Linked DNA regions of Cricetulus griseus. The protein of the gene in region 1 interacts with the protein of each later gene in a pairwise test. Links are inferred from orthologs where the notes say so. Each region holds a gene or a part of one and is shown in the gene's direction. Other genes may lie near its edges. The genes, in order: Mapk9, beta-arrestin-2 and Shmt1.

What was found.
Region 2: the proteins of Mapk9 (region 1) and beta-arrestin-2 interact in binary tests that used the Homo sapiens proteins (3 or more experiments, as listed by UniProt). The two-hybrid records come from large-scale screens. The link is inferred for Cricetulus griseus from reciprocal best matches to the Homo sapiens genes MAPK9 and ARRB2.
Region 3: the proteins of Mapk9 (region 1) and Shmt1 interact in binary tests that used the Homo sapiens proteins (3 or more experiments, as listed by UniProt). The two-hybrid records come from large-scale screens. The link is inferred for Cricetulus griseus from reciprocal best matches to the Homo sapiens genes MAPK9 and SHMT1.

Annotation. Positions count from the first base shown.
Region 1 is NC_048600.1:64,323,743-64,329,716, forward strand, and holds part of Mapk9 (mitogen-activated protein kinase 9), read left to right. Parts: intron 1-4,542; coding exon 4,543-4,672; intron 4,673-5,974. UniProt on the Homo sapiens protein: Serine/threonine-protein kinase involved in various processes such as cell proliferation, differentiation, migration, transformation and programmed cell death.
Region 2 is NC_048600.1:84,233,878-84,239,013, forward strand, and holds part of beta-arrestin-2, read left to right. Parts: intron 1-936; coding exon 937-967; intron 968-1,579; coding exon 1,580-1,640; intron 1,641-1,752; coding exon 1,753-1,797; intron 1,798-2,000; coding exon 2,001-2,197; intron 2,198-2,308; coding exon 2,309-2,368; intron 2,369-2,739; coding exon 2,740-2,807; intron 2,808-2,944; coding exon 2,945-3,083; intron 3,084-3,317; coding exon 3,318-3,402; intron 3,403-3,696; coding exon 3,697-3,769; intron 3,770-4,026; coding exon 4,027-4,164; intron 4,165-4,884; coding exon 4,885-4,968; intron 4,969-5,062; coding exon 5,063-5,136. UniProt on the Homo sapiens protein: Functions in regulating agonist-mediated G-protein coupled receptor (GPCR) signaling by mediating both receptor desensitization and resensitization processes.
Region 3 is NC_048600.1:74,800,004-74,805,977, reverse strand, and holds part of Shmt1 (serine hydroxymethyltransferase, cytosolic), read left to right. Parts: intron 1-194; coding exon 195-340; intron 341-1,579; coding exon 1,580-1,695; intron 1,696-2,205; coding exon 2,206-2,366; intron 2,367-3,125; coding exon 3,126-3,207; intron 3,208-4,143; coding exon 4,144-4,356; intron 4,357-5,974. UniProt on the Homo sapiens protein: Interconversion of serine and glycine.

The DNA of each region.
Region 1 (5,974 bases):
AGAGAATAGCATTTCCTTGGATTTAGATTATTTCTACAGCACCTTTATAAACGCAGGGTTGTAACACAATAAAAAAATGGCTAGACACACAAGGAGACAGGACAAAAGGGTCAGGGCAGCAGGGGATCCTGGCATCGTTAGTCCAAGTTTTAAATAGCTGTGGTGATGTGTTCAAGATGATAAACAAGATGAAAACTTAAGTGGAAGAACAAGAACTTCTAAAAAGAGAACTAAGTGGAAATAGAAGTGAAAGTGAAAGCTATAGTAATTGAATTACAAACTTAAAGAAAGTATTTATTTATTTTTATTTATTTATTTTTTTTAGATTTTATTATGTATACAACATTCTGCTTCCATGTATATCTGCACGGCAGAAGAGGGCACCAGATCTCATAACGGATGGTTGTGAGCCACCATGTGGTTGCTGGGAATTGAACTCAGGACCTCTGAAAGAGCAAGTGCTGTTAACCTCTGAGCCATCTTTCCAGCCCAAGAAAGTATTTGTTAATATTAGATGTAACTGAAGAGGGAATTGGTAATGTGGAAGATACATCAGCAGAAAATACCCAGAATGAAGCCTCAGAGACTAAAGAGTAGGGATTCAGAAGAGAGATGTGTTAATTTTTTATTGCTCCATAATCAATTACCACAGATTAATGGTTTAAAATAATTCAACATTTATTATCTGATGGCCATCCTTCATTAGAAAATGTAAATTAAAACAACATTCTTATGTACATGGTGAAATACACTCAGCCCAGAGGGTAAAAAGTAGGTTGTTCATGATACCAAGTGTTGGTGAAGATGTTCATATACAGCTCTCTACAGCTCTCAGGCATGGACTCTTGGCACACTGCTGATGGACACAGACACTGAAGACAGTCTGGCTTTATCTACTAAAGTAGAATCTATGCTTTCCCACTTGGCTATGTGCATGTCAGAGATACATGCTTGGAGGAATGGTGCCACGCACATGAATGTCGATGGCAGTGAGTCTTATCATCACTTGAAAACTGAAAAGAACTAAAGTGGCAATCAGTGTCATGTGACAGTCACACAAAGGAATATTACAGCAACGAGAGAGTGAATTATAATAATCAGACTAGTGGGTGAGTCATAAATACAGTGTTGAGTGAAAAGTCAGAGACTTCTAAAAAAAAACAGGCAAATATAAGTGATAGAGTTGTATATAAGGGCACATGTTTGTGAAATTGAGAAAGTTGTTGTCATGAACATCAGAAGTTAGGCCAAGCTTCGTGGTACACACCTTTAATTCCAGCACTTGGGAGGCAGAGGCAGGAGGATCTCTGAGTTCAAGACCAGACAAACTGGTTGACAGTGAGTTTCAGGATAACCAACCAGGACTATAAATAACCTCAGAAGTTATTTTCTTCTTTGGTGGACAAAAATGATAACAATTGGGAGGGGCTGTTAAGGGGACTTTTGGGGGCACCAACAGAGCATGGCTCTTTGTGATATATTATTGAGCAGAGGAACAAAACCCAAAACAAAGCAAAGGAGTGACTGTCAGATGAAAGCCTCCCTCACCAGCAACACTCAGAGCTGGAAAGCAGTGGCCTTAAAGTTCTAAGAGAAAATTGATTTTCGGCTTAGAAGACAGACTGTCAGTCAAAGATGAGGGCAGAGTAAGGTCATTTATCTTCAGTGTATGTTGTCTGGGGACAGTCTTTAAAGACACACTTCAACAATCAAGACAACTCAAGGCCATGTAATACAAGAAGGCAGTTAAATACAAGAGGCCAGAAATGGAATCCCAGGATAAGTTCTGTGAAGAAGGCTTTGAGATGCCTTCAAAGAAAGTATGAATCCATTCCAAGCATAGATGTCTGAGTGGGAGGTTATGGTACCAGTGATGGGCTTTGGGAGATGAGCTTTCTTCTCTTAGGAAAAAGTTGTTTGTTAAAACCTTGTTGAAGGAAGTATAGAAAGAGGCATCATCTACATAGAAAACAGAAGGGCAGGGTGCTCAAGCAGCTGATAGGCTGGAAGGACAGAGAGAGAGCCCATCTGACCTCCACGTAGCAGACATTCTAATTTTGTGTGTGTAATTGGCAGAAGAGATTTGTGATCTTTGGAAAATGAAGCGTAATCCCAGCTCTGCAACTAGTAATATTTACGTGTGTACATTTACTTTCAGTTGGTTGTCAGTGTTTATAATAGACAGCTTGAAGAAGCAGCACAGAGGCTTAGCTATCAGTTTAAAATGAGGAGTGTTTAAGACAGGGGTTTGGAGGAAGAGGGAGGAAGGTAAAGAGATGAAAGAGAGCAGGGTGGAACATAAGATCACCTTGTGTTGTGGGGGAAGAGCAAGATAAGGTGTGTTAACCCACTTACAAAGGAAACCTTGAAATTCCATTAGAACAAAGCTGGGAGAGGTTGGAGGTAACTAACCCCTTTGTTTCATACTAGGAAGTGTCTTTACCTTTGAGTTAAAAGGTCATCTCAAGACAGAAAACATGGATAGCTGAAGGTCATTAGAGCTGGAACAGGAGTGATTTAGATAGATTTCTATTGCTGTGATAAAACACAATGACCAAAAACAACATAGAAGAAAGAAAGGATTTATTCATCTTTCAGTTTGTAATTCATCATCCAGGGAAGTTGGGACAAGAACCTAAAGGCAACTGAAACAGAGGCTGTAGGGAGTACTGCTTATTGGCTTGTTCCTCCTGGCTTGTTCAGTTTGTTTTCTTGTAAGACAACTTACCCAGGGGTAGCAGCACCCACAATGGGCTGGACCTCCCACATCAGTCATTAACCAAGAAAATGCCCCACAAGCCAGTCTATAACGGGGAATTTTCTCAATTGAGATTCCTTCTTCCAAAATGACTCTACCTATGTCAAGCCAGCAAAAAAAAAAAAAAAAAAAAAAAAAAAAAAAACTAGTCAGTACATACATACATACACACACACATACTTATACATAGTGTTTCCAAATCCATATACATTATAGAATCGCTAAATTCAGCTAAATTACATATACATGTTTCACGTTTTCTGCAGTGAGAACACTTAACATCTACTTTCTTAGCAGTTTTAAAGAATATAGTACAAGTAAGGAATGGTAGTGCACACCTTTAATCCCAGTACTCCAGAGGCAAGGGTAGGTGGATCTCTGTGAGTTCAAGGCCAGCATGATTTACATAGCAAGATTCAATACTACACAGAAAGAGCTTGACTCAAAGAAGAAAAAGTAAAGAAAAAACAGCACAGTATAGTGATGTTACTAACTGAAGGCAATGTTATTCTGTAGAGTCCTTGAACACAGTCATACTCCTGTTTGTCTGAAAATTCAGACAAAAACCTTTGAGATCAGAAAGGTGAATCTAAGAAATACAAGTGTATATGTACACACAGGCACATTAATGATTTCTCTCACAATGGATTTTCTTAATCATCATATATTCATATGAGTAGTAAATTTGCCTGTGAGCATGTGGGCTCACCTATGACTGGGGTGTGTGTGTGTGTGTGTGTGTGTGTGTGTGTGTGTGTGTGTGTGTGTGTGTGTAAAACAAATGTAGTGATTCTTCTTAGCAAGTTCTACCATGCCCAGCCTTTAACTTAAAAACAGATCAAATTAAGTTAGAGTTGTTCAGCAGAAAGTATTAACAGAAAGGAATAAGAGTAAATACTATTACAAAGGCAGAGAGGATAGACAGGCAGGGCTTGAAGGGATGCCTGGGCTCACAGGTTGTCTTTAGCAACCTTGAGCCCCTGTTGAGCCATCAGAAGGCCTCTCACTGATGACACTGAGTACTGCTGGCCTGAAACCTGAAGATGTGTCATCATGCCACTCACTTTTCTGCATTCAATTTCTGGAGAAAAATTAACACTAAATTCCATGAAGGGATGTGAGAACTGGAAAGTGGAGCTTTAGGTTTTCCTCTTACTATAAAAGGAGGCAGCATTTCCTGCAGAATTTTATATATAGCAAGTGCTTACATTGGGACTTTGTGTCTTGGGAATTTACCATGAGCTGAGACTTGGGCTACTGTTTCTTTTTAGATTCTTTGGCCTGGGAAAGCATAAACGGTCAAAACTTAGATTTATTAAATTCCTTCCATGAGCTCAACCACAGAATCTGCAGTGATACTCCAAAATATACTGGCATTTTAATCAGTGATAACAGGGAAGTTTTCAATTTCTTGACGTCTTTAAACTGAAAATTTCATTCCTTGACTTGTGTTACATGCTTTGGATTAAATTAACTGTTTCTGAACCTGCTGATCTTAGTAACTGAAAATTCAATGTACAAAGAATTGCTAAATCCTACTGGAACTGTAGCTGAAAGTCATGGTGCCTTGTGGGGGGTAGTGTCAGGGTGAGGTGGGGGTTAGTCTCTCCTGCTGGCTCAGCCACTTCACTTTCCATAAGTACATAAAGCTTGATTGGGGAAGAACAGAAATATTTCTCCTTGTCTATTATTTGCTTTGAAAGATAATACATTGAATGTATATTCTCCATTGCTATTTTCAAAGGCCATTTTAATAGATTGTTTATTATATTTCCTAATTATAGTGCTGCTTTTGATACAGTTCTTGGGATAAATGTTGCTGTCAAGAAGTTAAGCCGTCCTTTCCAGAACCAAACGCATGCAAAGAGAGCCTATCGTGAACTTGTCCTCTTAAAGTGTGTCAATCATAAAAATGTAAGTTACAGGTGCTCCTTCTATGTGCTTTGATGTTAGTAGTGTGATCAGACTGAAGATTAACTAATGATGAGAGAGACTCTATGTCTTAGGGTTTCTGTTGCTGGGATGAAGCAATATAACCAAAAAACAAGTTGGGGAGGAAACGGTTTATTTGCTTTACACTTCAACACTACGTTCATTTACTGAAGGACATCAGGACAGGAACTCAAACAGGGCAGGATCCCGGAGGTAGGAGCTGATGCAGAGGCCATGGAGAGGAGCTGCTTACTAGCTTGCTTCCCCTGCCTTGCTCAGCCTTCTTTCTTATAGAACCCAGAACCAGCAGCCTAGGGATGGCATCACCCACCATGGACTGAGTCCTCCACCTTTGATCACTAAATGAGAAAATGCCTTACAACTAACTGGATCTTGTTGAGTCATTTCTTCAACTGAGGCTCCTTCCTCTGATGACCCTAATGTGTCAAATTGACACACAAAACCATCCAGTACACTAAAAAAAAAAAGCTTACATTTTATTGATAAAATTAGGATGTATTCTTTATTACATCTAGTTATTGGGGGAAGGGAGATGCCACTGCTCATATTGGAAGTCAGAGGACAACTTTCCAGAATCAGTTCTCTTTTTTCCCACCATGTGGGACCCTGGGATACACTGAGTCCATCAGCAGCAGGCTTTTCGGCCAATGCCTTTACCTACAGAGCCATCTCTTCAGCCTTTCGAGGAGATTTGCATGATCAGTTCATGACATCTCTCTCTGGCTTTAGATGAGTAGGGAATATTTAAGATTATACTAAACCCTTTGTTTCAACATCTGTGCTTGATCTTTCTGTATGGTGACATTAAGTGTGCAACTAAGATCAGTTCATTGTTTTGTCACATTATTTTTTTTTAATTTTGGGCAGTGCTGGGGATTGAATCCAGGACCTTACATACACAAGGCAAATGCTCTACCACTGGCCTCCATTTGCATCTGTGGTTTGAGTTGGTTTTAGTTTTTCAATGTATGTTTAATCTTACTTATTTAATTTTTGTCAGTTTACAAAAATGCGTGTTTATTATTTTTAAAAATTCAAGTAACATAAGTTAGAAAGCAAAACTCCCTGGGCCCTTCAGCCATAGTTCACTAGCATGAACATTTTAGTGAGCATGCTTGTGTATGTATGTTCACATATGTATAAACAAGATCAATTATACTATTCTTCCTGTCCACCCCTGTAATGTTGGTAGATTTCATACACTTTAATGGGCACAGCTGTAATGCATTTTTAAGTGGTTGCATATACAGATATATAATGATT
Region 2 (5,136 bases), about 20 Mb from region 1:
CTTTGGGCTATTAGAGTAGTCACAATGCAATTGGAACACTGCTAGGACCAGAACAGTCACCCAATAAATGTTAGCCAGTATCCTCTTTGTCACATGGATGCTACTGTGTTGGGACACCTCAATGTACAAGATCCCAGGGGTCACAGCTGTCAGCCTTTGTGAAATCACAAGTAAAATATAAACAAGATGGGAAAGGAACAGGGAGGAGGGAGTGTTATTGTGCTGGCGGTTAAAGTCGAGGCCGAGTCTTCAATCTGACGGAGATGATGTCTGAGTTAGGCCTTGACCGACAAATGCATTTTTTTTAAGATTCTGAGGTCAGAGATGGGGATGTTGGAGGTTCATGAAATAAGCAGATGTGGGCAGTGCCTTCAGTAGAAACTGAGGGGTAAAGTCAAGGCACTGCTCCAGGTGTCCTCGAAGCTAGAGGTCATTTGAAAAGTGGCTAGTTTAACTGAGGGTGGTGGTTCACGCCTTTCATCTCACCATCAGGGATGCAGAGGCAGGTGGATCTCAGAGTTGGGGCCAACCTGGTCTACATATCAAGTTCCAGGCCAGCCAGGGTTACATAGTTAAATCCCGGTCTCAAAAGAAAAGTGTGTTAGGTCTGACCCAGACATTGGATAGCCATCTAGTTCCCATCTTCTTCTGGGGACGGTGCCCTCGGGAGAGTCTAGATGGTTCCTGGAGCAACCAGTGGCCATTACTGTAGAGGTGGATCAAATCAAAGGAGCAAGTGTTTGCCCTGACAGTTGGCTTCAAGGGGCTGCCATGTGGAAAATACTGGGACTTTGTTAAAAAAAAAAAAAAGTGGGAAGGGTAGACCAGGGATCCAGGGTGAATTCCACTTCTTGGGCTAGGGAGGGATAAGTCCTGGTGTGGTGGTCCCTGCTGAGTCTAAGGGAGGCAGTGGGGTCTCCCTTTCTGTTTTGTTAGGGTCTTCAAGAAGTCGAGCCCTAACTGCAAGGTGAGTCACCCACAGTGCTTATGCTTCGATCCTTCCTGGGCCCTATCAAAGCCCAACCTACCCCCAGCTGATCCCCAACCCTTAGCTCCCCACTTCCTGTGACAGCTAAAAGCAGACTTCCTTCCCTCCTTAAGCCCCTTGCCACAGTCTGAAGAAGCCACAGGGCTGGGTGGGGACCAGGCTAGGTTCCTAAGCAAGCTTGTAATTCTCTTAGGAACCAACCCAGGGTACTTGGGACTAGGAAAAGTTAATAGTTCCCCAGGCTGTGGCCTGTTTATTGCAGAGCCCTTTGTGGGGAGAGCTGCTAACTGCCTGGTCTGACTGAGTGCTCCCTGAAGACATGGGAACACACACATATACACACATACACCTCTGTCCTTGCTTGGTGGACAGCGGTATGAAAAGTGACCAGAGGAGCAGACAAAAGCCTAAATGAAAGCTTTACTGAATAGTCTGGAAAGCCCTACCACTCTCACCTTCCAATAACACTGGGAGAAACTCCTTCCTGATAACCCAGCCAAGGGGAGCCCAGGACAGGGCCGCCATCTTTGAGGGCTCTGGTGGCTTGCCACCATCCTCCCCAATTTTGCCTGTGACCCTTGACATCCTCAGCTCACCGTGTACTTGGGCAAGCGCGACTTTGTAGACCACCTGGACAAAGTGGATCCTGTGGGTGAGTTTGCCTAGAAGGGGGTAGCTCATCCCCCCAGGAGGGAGGAGGTTCCTGGTTCTGGGGATGGGGAAAGGCCGCCTTCAGAAAATGAATCCACGTCTCCCTTTCCTAGATGGCGTGGTGCTCGTGGATCCTGACTACTTGAAGGACCGCAAAGGTACTAGACCCAAGTCCAGGAGCTGGAGGGGAGGCAGGAAGAAGAAGGAATTCGATGGGTTGGCATTGGTAGGGTGTCCCAGACAGATGGAAGGCTGAGGCAGAAGCAGGGGGTAGGATTCAGGGAAGTCTGTCGTGCTGAGGAAGGATGTGGGCGACATGAAGGATGTCTCTTGATCATCCCACCTTGCCCTCGCTTTCCAGTGTTTGTTACCCTCACCTGCGCCTTCCGCTATGGCCGAGAAGACCTGGATGTACTGGGCCTGTCTTTCCGCAAAGATCTGTTCATTGCCACCTACCAAGCCTTTCCCCCCATGCCCAACCCACCCCGGCCCCCCACCCGGCTACAGGACCGACTGCTGAAGAAGTTGGGCCAGCATGCCCATCCCTTTTTTTTCACAGTGAGGATGCTCCCTTTTCTCCGAGGAGTGGGGGGGGGGGGGGCTGCAGGATTGACATGGGATGAGGCACCTGTTACCAGGGACTGAAACCCCTCCTTTTCTCTGCCACAGTTACCCCAGAATTTGCCTTGCTCTGTCACACTGCAGCCAGGACCAGAGGACACAGGGAAGGTAAGGGAGGGACAGCTATCACAGTGTGTGAACAGAACTGGGCTCAGCAGAAGCACAAAACACAACTGAACCAGAGGGTGAAGTTTAGGGGGGTCCTGAAGACAAGGAGGTGTCCCCATGGACATGGGTGTGCATGGTGTGGTCACTGCATCTGGAACATGTACCTGGGTATGGGGGTTCCTCCATGCACTGCCATGAGCCAGCCTCTGTAAGGTGCCAGACTAGGAGACAGTGGGGCAAGAGAGTCCGTGTTTCCGAGATGGGGCAAAAGTTCACACTTAAGGGGAATGAAGCAAGTAGGAAGGAAGGGGTGTGTTGGAAGTGGCAACAGGAGCCTTGGGTAAGAGGTGGCCTTTCCTCCCCCTTCCAAGGCCTGTGGAGTCGACTTTGAGATTCGTGCCTTCTGTGCCAAATCTCTAGAAGAAAAAAGCCACAAAAGGTGAGAGAAACTTTGTCTCTGGTTTAACAACTCCCTCCCAGCCTTATGGAGCCCCTGGCGCCTGTTGGGGGTAGGAATCTTAGTTGAATTGTAGTGTCTTGGAACTAACCCTTCCCCTGCTCCACCCCCTGACTCAGGAACTCGGTGCGACTTATCATCAGAAAGGTACAGTTTGCTCCAGAGATACCTGGCCCCCAGCCCTCAGCAGAAACCACACGCCACTTCCTCATGTCTGACCGGAGGTCCCTGCACCTAGAGGCTTCCCTGGACAAAGAGGTGAGGTGTAAAAGAGTGACAGAGATGCCACAAAGCAGGCCAGAGCCTGGGGGAGGGGTGAAGCGACAGGCAGGATGGTGGTTTGGGATTTTTTTTTTAAAGGTGGTTGCCTCACTTGGGTGGAGGTGCTATGGACTGGGGTTGGAGGTGGGGCAGAGCAGCCTCTATCAGAGAGGTACCCAAGTTGGAGCCACTGAAGCAAGTGCAAACTGTGTCATCCCCTCCCTTCAAAAGCTGTATTACCACGGGGAGCCACTCAATGTCAACGTCCATGTCACCAACAACTCGGCCAAGACCGTCAAGAAGATTAGAGTCTCTGGTAGGAGGTGGGGGTGGACATGGGTGTGGGGAAGGAAGTCCCTGATTACAAGGGGCTTCTGCTGCCATTTCAGCCCAGGCCATATCCCAGTGTGGGAGAACTACCAGGGCATAAAGAATTTAGTCTGTTCCCAGATGATGCCCAGCCCTAGTGTTTATTATAGGAGGGCTGTTGGCCAGGGGTAGGAGGTGGGGGTGTGCTGCCCCCAAGTGGGGTTCACACCATGTGGTCTGGAGTTGTGGTACAGTAGTAGTCTATACTTCACCCAAAGCCACTTGGTCCCCTACCCCACAGTGAGACAGTATGCCGACATTTGCCTCTTCAGCACCGCGCAGTACAAGTGTCCTGTGGCTCAGCTTGAGCAAGAGTGAGTATGGGACAACCGTGGGACCCAACTTAGGGGAGAATATGAGAATGCAGAGTTCCTTATAACCTATCTCACTTCTAAGGGTGTCCCTCTGCAGCCTGGGGGCTCCAGGCTGTTAGCAGATTGCATCAGAACCTACCCCCTCGTAATCTGCCCTGATGGACAGAGAAGGAGGAAGTACCGCCTGAGGGTGGTATGATGAATCTCCCTCAGTCCAGTCTCTCCAAGAATCTTGTTCCCTTGTTCCCAACCCCCAGTGACCAGGTATCTCCCAGTTCCACGTTCTGCAAGGTGTACACCATAACCCCACTGCTCAGTGACAACCGGGAGAAGCGTGGCCTTGCCCTGGACGGGCAGCTCAAGCATGAAGACACCAACCTGGCTTCTAGCACCATGTGAGGGCGGGGCTGGTGGACTGGGGGACAGGGGACAGGCTTCCGTTCAGTGCAGTGCAGGCGGTGTGCCAGGCTCTGTCCTGGGTGCCAGGGAGGTATCAGTGAACAGAAGTGACAAAAACCTCTCACATTCTAAGGGAGGGAAGACAGACAATCAGATAAGTGGTAAACTAGATAGCATGTTAGGAACAAGTGTTAAGTGGGAAAAGCAAGCAGAGCAGGAGGGATAACGTACAGAAAGGGTCAGGCTGTGTTGATTGTAAATAGATTGGCCAGAAAGGGTGAATACTGAAGGGCCCAGAGGAAGGAGACCTGTGGGTGTGCAAGCCAAGAGGGCTCCAGGCAGATAGATCTGCAGTCTTTGCGGCTCGGGTGGGATGATCCCCAGGGTGCATGAGGAATTGTGATGTGTCACTATGTATGACCTTGGGCACCCCTGGTCCCAGAAGGCCAGAGCCTCACCCAGTGGTGCCTTTTCTCTGGGTACACACTACACCGCCACACAGGCCCACATGGTGAGAAGGGACCACAAAAAGAGAAGTGGGTGAGAGGACCTGCACACCAAGTGCTGCAGATCAAAGCACCCTGGTGCCTGGCAAAGATGAGGCCCCAGGAGGGTTCTGCATAGAGGAATGCCATGAGCCCGCATTGCTATGACTGCACAGCTAATGCTGTGGGAGCCCTGGATCCCTGACCCAGCTCCCCTCCTCCCAATTGCAGTGTGAAAGAGGGAGCCAACAAGGAGGTTCTGGGAATCCTGGTATCCTACAGGGTCAAGGTGAAGCTGGTGGTGTCTCGAGGCGGGTGAGTACACTGGGAAAGCCTGGTCACGTGGTTGTCTGTGGCTCCGTGGGATTGTGGTAGCCGTCCTCTTCATGCAGCCCTTCTCCCTCCCCAGGGATGTCTCCGTGGAGCTACCGTTCGTTCTCATGCACCCCAAGCCTCATGACCATATCACCCTTCCCAGACCCC
Region 3 (5,974 bases), about 10 Mb from region 1:
CTCTGTACGGCCAAGGGTGATCTTGAAGCTTCTGATTCTGCCACTTTACGTCCTGAGGGCTGAGATTTCAGGCATGTGCCACCCTCCCCAATTTATTCAATACTGGAGATCAAGCCCGAGGGATTATGAATGCTAGATAAACCCTCTAGCAACTGGGCTACCCTCCAACCTCATGTCTGTTTTCTTCTGATAAGGTTTACAACATTATTAAAAAAGAGAACAATCGGCAAAGGATTGGATTGGAGCTGATTGCCTCAGAGAATTTTGCCAGCAGAGCTGTGTTGGAGGCCCTGGGATCTTGCTTAAATAATAAATACTCTGAGGGATATCCAGGCCAAAGGTGAGTGAGTGTTCTTAAAGTCCTGCTTTGATCATTTGTTTTTATTTCTTGTTATGTGGTTCAGGCTGACCTTTAGCCCTAATTCTCCTGCCTCAGCCTTCCAAGTGCTATGTGGTTTTAATTTACAATTCCTGGCTTTCAACTAATATGTAACTTTCAAAAACCTGTAGCTTCCTAGTTGTCTTCCCTTCTTGCTCTGTGATGTGACTCCTCCAGTTCTCGGCTTGGGTGGGATTTTGTGATCTTTCTTAGAGCTGTCACACTCAACAGTCCCTATATGAGACCTTTGTAGAATAGGCTGGCCTCGTCCCTCTGGGTTCAAGTGGTTATGAGCAGGCTTGTCTATGAGAGATGTAGTCAAGGCTCTAGGAAAGGTCATTGTCCTGAGAGAAAGTTACAGAGAGTGGATTGCTCTGAGAACCTTTGCATCTAGGAAGTGGAAAAACAAAACAAAAACCCTGTATTGCAGGCTCAATATACCTCCTCTAAAATGCTTTCAATCAAAAGTGTTTTTCATTAATTTTTCTACTTGATTCTTTGCTCAAGCAGTCTATATCTGAAACTAGTGGTTCAAAATTTGAAACTTTGGGTATTTTGTGAGTTTTACTATGTAGTCATACAACTTGGTGTGTGGACCAGATTGGCTGCACACTTGTGTTGCTCCTCCTGCCTCTATTTCTCAAGTGGCATGCACCACTATGCCTGATCTTTTTTTGTTGTCTTTGGTGGTGCTTGCTGGGAGTTGAATTTAGGACTTCATGCACACTAGGCAAGTCTCCTGCCACTGGCTTTGACACTCTCCACATTGAAACCTGTTTGTTGGGACAGAATTTCAGAATCTCACTGCATAGCATAAGCTCGGTCCTATCTATCTATATATCTATCACAGTCATTATAAGACAAACAAAATATAGAAGTTGACAGTGGTTTTTGCACCTGCTTGTTCCAATGGGAACAGGAAAAAGGAGAGCCTCCAAAGAATACAATGTGTTCTGTCCTGAGGTACCCTTGTTTCTTTTCCCTCTCTTTTTTTTTCTTGGGACAGGGTCTTTGTATATAGCACCAGCCAGCCTGGAACTCCTCCTGCTTCAGCCCGCCAAGTATTGCTTAAAGGTGTGCACCACCAGGACTCCTCCCCCACCCATCTACCCATACTCTGCCCACCCTAGGCAACTTTGATCTCTGCTAGGCACAGAGACTGGGCCCAACGTGGATGGTGGACCATGCTTCCTTTTACAGGTATTATGGTGGGACCGAGTTCATTGATGAGCTGGAGACACTGTGTCAGAAGCGTGCATTGCAGGCCTATCATCTGGATCCTCGGTGCTGGGGCGTCAATGTCCAGCCTTATTCAGGTGATCATTGCATCCATGTAGACCCTGCGTAGCTCCATAGGCCTTGCTCTATGGTGTTACAGCCACCAAGTCAAGTCCTACAAAAAGCTTCTCGCCGGGCGTTGGTGGCGCACGCCTTTAATCCCAGCACTTGGGAGGCAGAGGCAGGTGGATCTCTGTAAGTTCGAGACCAGCCTGGTCTACAAGAGCTAGTTCCAGGACAGCCTCCAAAGCCACAGAGAAACCCTGTCTCGAAACCCCCCCCCCCCCAAAAAAAAGCTCCTCATAAATAACAGAGAGAAGCCAAGGAATGTGTACATCCATCTCTATTGCCCTTGGACCTACTTAGGCTCCGCACTCCCCTCCCAAGTAGCATTCTCCACTGGGACTTGGGATCAGTGGGACTTTCTAAGGCTCAGGAAAATCATGGTGATAGCCTGCTGAATGATTGTGTAGTAGCCAAGCTCCTGGATGCCACTTTGTGTCTCATGGGTAGAAATTCTCATGACCTCTCTCTTGTCCCTGTTTCAGGCTCCCCTGCAAACTTCGCTGTATATACTGCCCTGGTTGAGCCCCATGGACGTATCATGGGCTTAGACCTGCCAGATGGAGGTCATTTGACTCATGGCTTCATGACAGACAAGAAGAAAATCTCTGCTACATCTATCTTCTTTGAATCTATGCCTTATAAGGTAGGGAGTGTGTATCTCCTCAGAGCTTTCCTTATGAGTTGGCACCCACGGGGATAAGTCATTTCATTTACACAGCACTGCTGCAGCCCCTTCTACTAGATCTCACCTCCTTGCCCCAAAGATTCTCCAGGCTCTTGGCACACTGCCAAGAAAGTGGAAGCTCAGGCATAGCTTCCATATGACATGATGGAAGCTATGCCTGAGAAAAGATCAGATAGCCAGACTCCTAGCAACAGCTGGTGGCACACCAAAATCAATAGGCAGTGTCCCTATCTCTAGCTCTAGCATCAATACTAGCAGCTTCTAGGTGGTGTGTTTTGGTTGTATGAGTATTTGCCTCTGTGTGTGTGTGTGTGTGTGTGTGTGTGTGTGTGTGTGTGTGTGTGTGTGTACACATATGTAACAGGTATGTGTGTATCTGATGCCTGAAGAGGTCAGAAGAGGGTGTTGATTTCTTGGAACTGGAGTGTGCATGTGTGTGGGTGCTAGGAACCAAATCTGGGTCCTCTGCAAGAACAGCAAATGCTTGTATCTGCTGAAGAATTTCTCCAGCCCTTGTCTTTATTATTTTGGTTAGTTGGTATCTTAGTCTGTAACCCAGGCTGACTTTGAACTCATGACAATCCTTCTGCCTCAGCCAGTGCCCTGCCCCTGGTCCTGGTCTGTGTTGTGGCAGGTTGAATTGTCTCAAATGGGTGAGCAGGGGTCACTGTGTGACCAGAGGGAGTAGCCAAGCCTGTGTCTTCCTGCTCCCGACAGGTGTACCCAGACACTGGCTACATTAACTATGACCAGCTGGAGGAGAATGCCAGCCTCTTTCACCCGAAGCTGATCGTCGCAGGTGAGTGGCAAGTGGGGAGCAGCCTGGTTCCTGGGCAGGGCCTCTGTGTCCTACAGAGAAAGATGGATAGATATCCCATCCTCCAGCTCACTGTGCAGAGCTCAGGACTTGAGACAGAATTACTTTGTCCTTTTAAGTCTTGGACTGTAAAGAGCCTTTCTTCTAGCCAGACTGCTGCCATCTTCATGAGGTCAGCTGTGCCTGCTTTCAAGGGTCCATCTTGATTGGGTCTGTGGATGGTTGACATTTGCCCTCCTAAAAGGAGGGAGCCAGAAGGGCCATTGAACCCTCACATGAGTGTCAGGCTACTTCCCCCAGCCATCTGCAGTTCTGCCCTAAGTGCATGTGGCCTCCATAAGGGGCTAGAGTATCTAGTCTGGGGAAGCCTGGGGGAAGGGAGCTTTCTTAATTCTGTTATGGAGGAGCCGTCTATGCTGGTCAGGACTTTCCAGGACAGCTGCATTTGGATCACCTACACTTCTGTCACTAATCTCACCCATAAAGCAAACCCAATAAGCTCTGGTTTCCCACGGTGAACTTGTACTTGGTTTTGTTATTGACCATATGAGGGTAAGGTAGACATTGTTCATGTCCCTCTCACACAAGACTTTTTAACAGCTTGCCATCAGTAGTGCTTAGTGGGTCAGTGCTTCAAGCCTTAGGCTTTTCTTAACATGTATAAAAGCACAGGGGTGGTTTTATTTTGTTTGATTGGTTGATTGTTTTTGAAATGGTTTCATTGTATATCCACTGGCCTCTGCCTTCCCAGTGCCGGGATTAAAGGTGTGTACTACCACACTTAGCTCAGAGATGGTTACAGACCACATTGCACCTCTGTCCTCAAAGATGGGGTGGGTCTCCTTTCACATCTGTGCATCAGAGACTAGATCAGCTGCCCTGGGAATCTTTGACACTACCATGTCTCCTCTGTCTCAGGGACCAGCTGCTACTCTCGGAACCTGGACTACGCACGTCTGCGAAAGATTGCTGATGATAATGGGGCATATCTCATGGCAGACATGGCACACATTAGTGGGCTGGTGGCAGCTGGTGTGATACCCTCCCCTTTTAAATACTGCCATGTGGTGACCACCACAACCCACAAAACCCTGAGAGGCTGCCGTGCTGGTATGATATTCTACAGAAAGGGTAAGTTCCCACCTGGTGGGACAGGCAAAGGGTGGAAGAAACCAGGAATAATACTCTGGACTGTGACTTCTGGAAAAGATCAGGATTCTGTACCTTGAAGAGCTCATCAGGAAAGAGTAGTGATGGGCTTTGTAAGAAGCCTCAAGCCACAGTTCTGGCCTCAGTGTGTGTGACAGAAAGGGGCTTAGCCAGTGTCCTGCTCATCTGACCCTCCACACAGGAGGAAGGGTGGGGTAGCTCTAGAATGCAGCTATTTTGATGAACTTGTTATGATCTAGCATATTTGTCAAAGAGAATTTTTTTTTTTTTTAATGCTATTATTGATGGGGATACTCACACACCAAAATGTCGAGGTCAGAAGACAACTTTTGAGAGTTGTTTCTCTCCTTCCATTGTGGGATGCCGGGGTTGAACTCAAGTTGACAGGTTTGTACATCAAGCACTTTTATCTGCTGAGCCATCTCCATGCCCTCATAAGGAAAGACTAATGTGTGCTGGAAGTGGGTAATCCCAGCTCTTAAGATGAAACAGGAAGATAGGAATTTGAGGCCATCCCGAGACTTTGTCAAAGGAAAGGCGGAGGGTGACAATGAGACTAACACACTGTCATGCAACAAGAATTAAGCTATAAAACATTGATACAGGAGGCATGCATGGTTGCATGCATGCATCTGTAATCCCAGCACCTTGGAAGGCATAGGCAGGAGACAGCTGAAAGTTTAGGGGCAGATTACTGAAGTTAAGTTCTAGGTCCGCCAGTGCTAGGTAATTCAGACTCATGTTTCATGCATAAAACAGAAACAAATAACCTCTGTATAAGTTTCATCATTTTAGTAAGTTATTTCTCTTCTCACTACCTTACATCCTACTTCTGCATTTTTCCCCTGAATCTCTAGCTGCTACAATGGTGAAAGTTGTATCAATAGTTATGTAGCCATAGCTTTGGAGAAGCAGATAAACTAGCCCTCCGGTGTGTATTACACTGGTGGGATCTTATTGCCTTAGCCCACCCCTCCCTATTGAGGGCAAGTCCTAGTTAGGTCCCACTTTAGTCTCCCAGGTTCTGTGGCCTTGGAGGACCTTTGCCATCTTGCTTGGTGTGGAGTTGTTGGGTTTGTTGTTGTTTGCTTGTTTTGGTTTTGAAACAGGGTCTCATTCTTAGCACAATCCTCTTGTCTCAGCCCCTCAGTGATCAGATTATAGGTGTGAGGCACAAGCTAGGTTTCTGGGTTGGTATTTGAGTCACCTAACACAGAGACCTTTGGTGTGTCTGGTGTGTGCAGTGGGATTTGTTGACCCTCAGCCAGTCAGAGTAGATCTGGCCTCTTTGCTGCTGTGTCATCTTGGGCCACAGGCAGCCTCTGTCTCCTCTTCTCTAGAGGAGAGTGTGCCATCATAGCACCCATGCCTCCAGACGATTTTGGGGATTCAGTGAGTTGCTCCTATGGCAGTTCTTTGGCTTACAATGTAGGTGTTAGTGACACTTATCATTGAATAGGAATTACCTTTACTATTAACTTTTTCTCACAAATAGTCATCTGAGCATTACTACCTTCATACTTTCACTCCGTCACTTTCCACACAAGCTGAGTGACTGAGTTCAATCCCCAGAATCCAC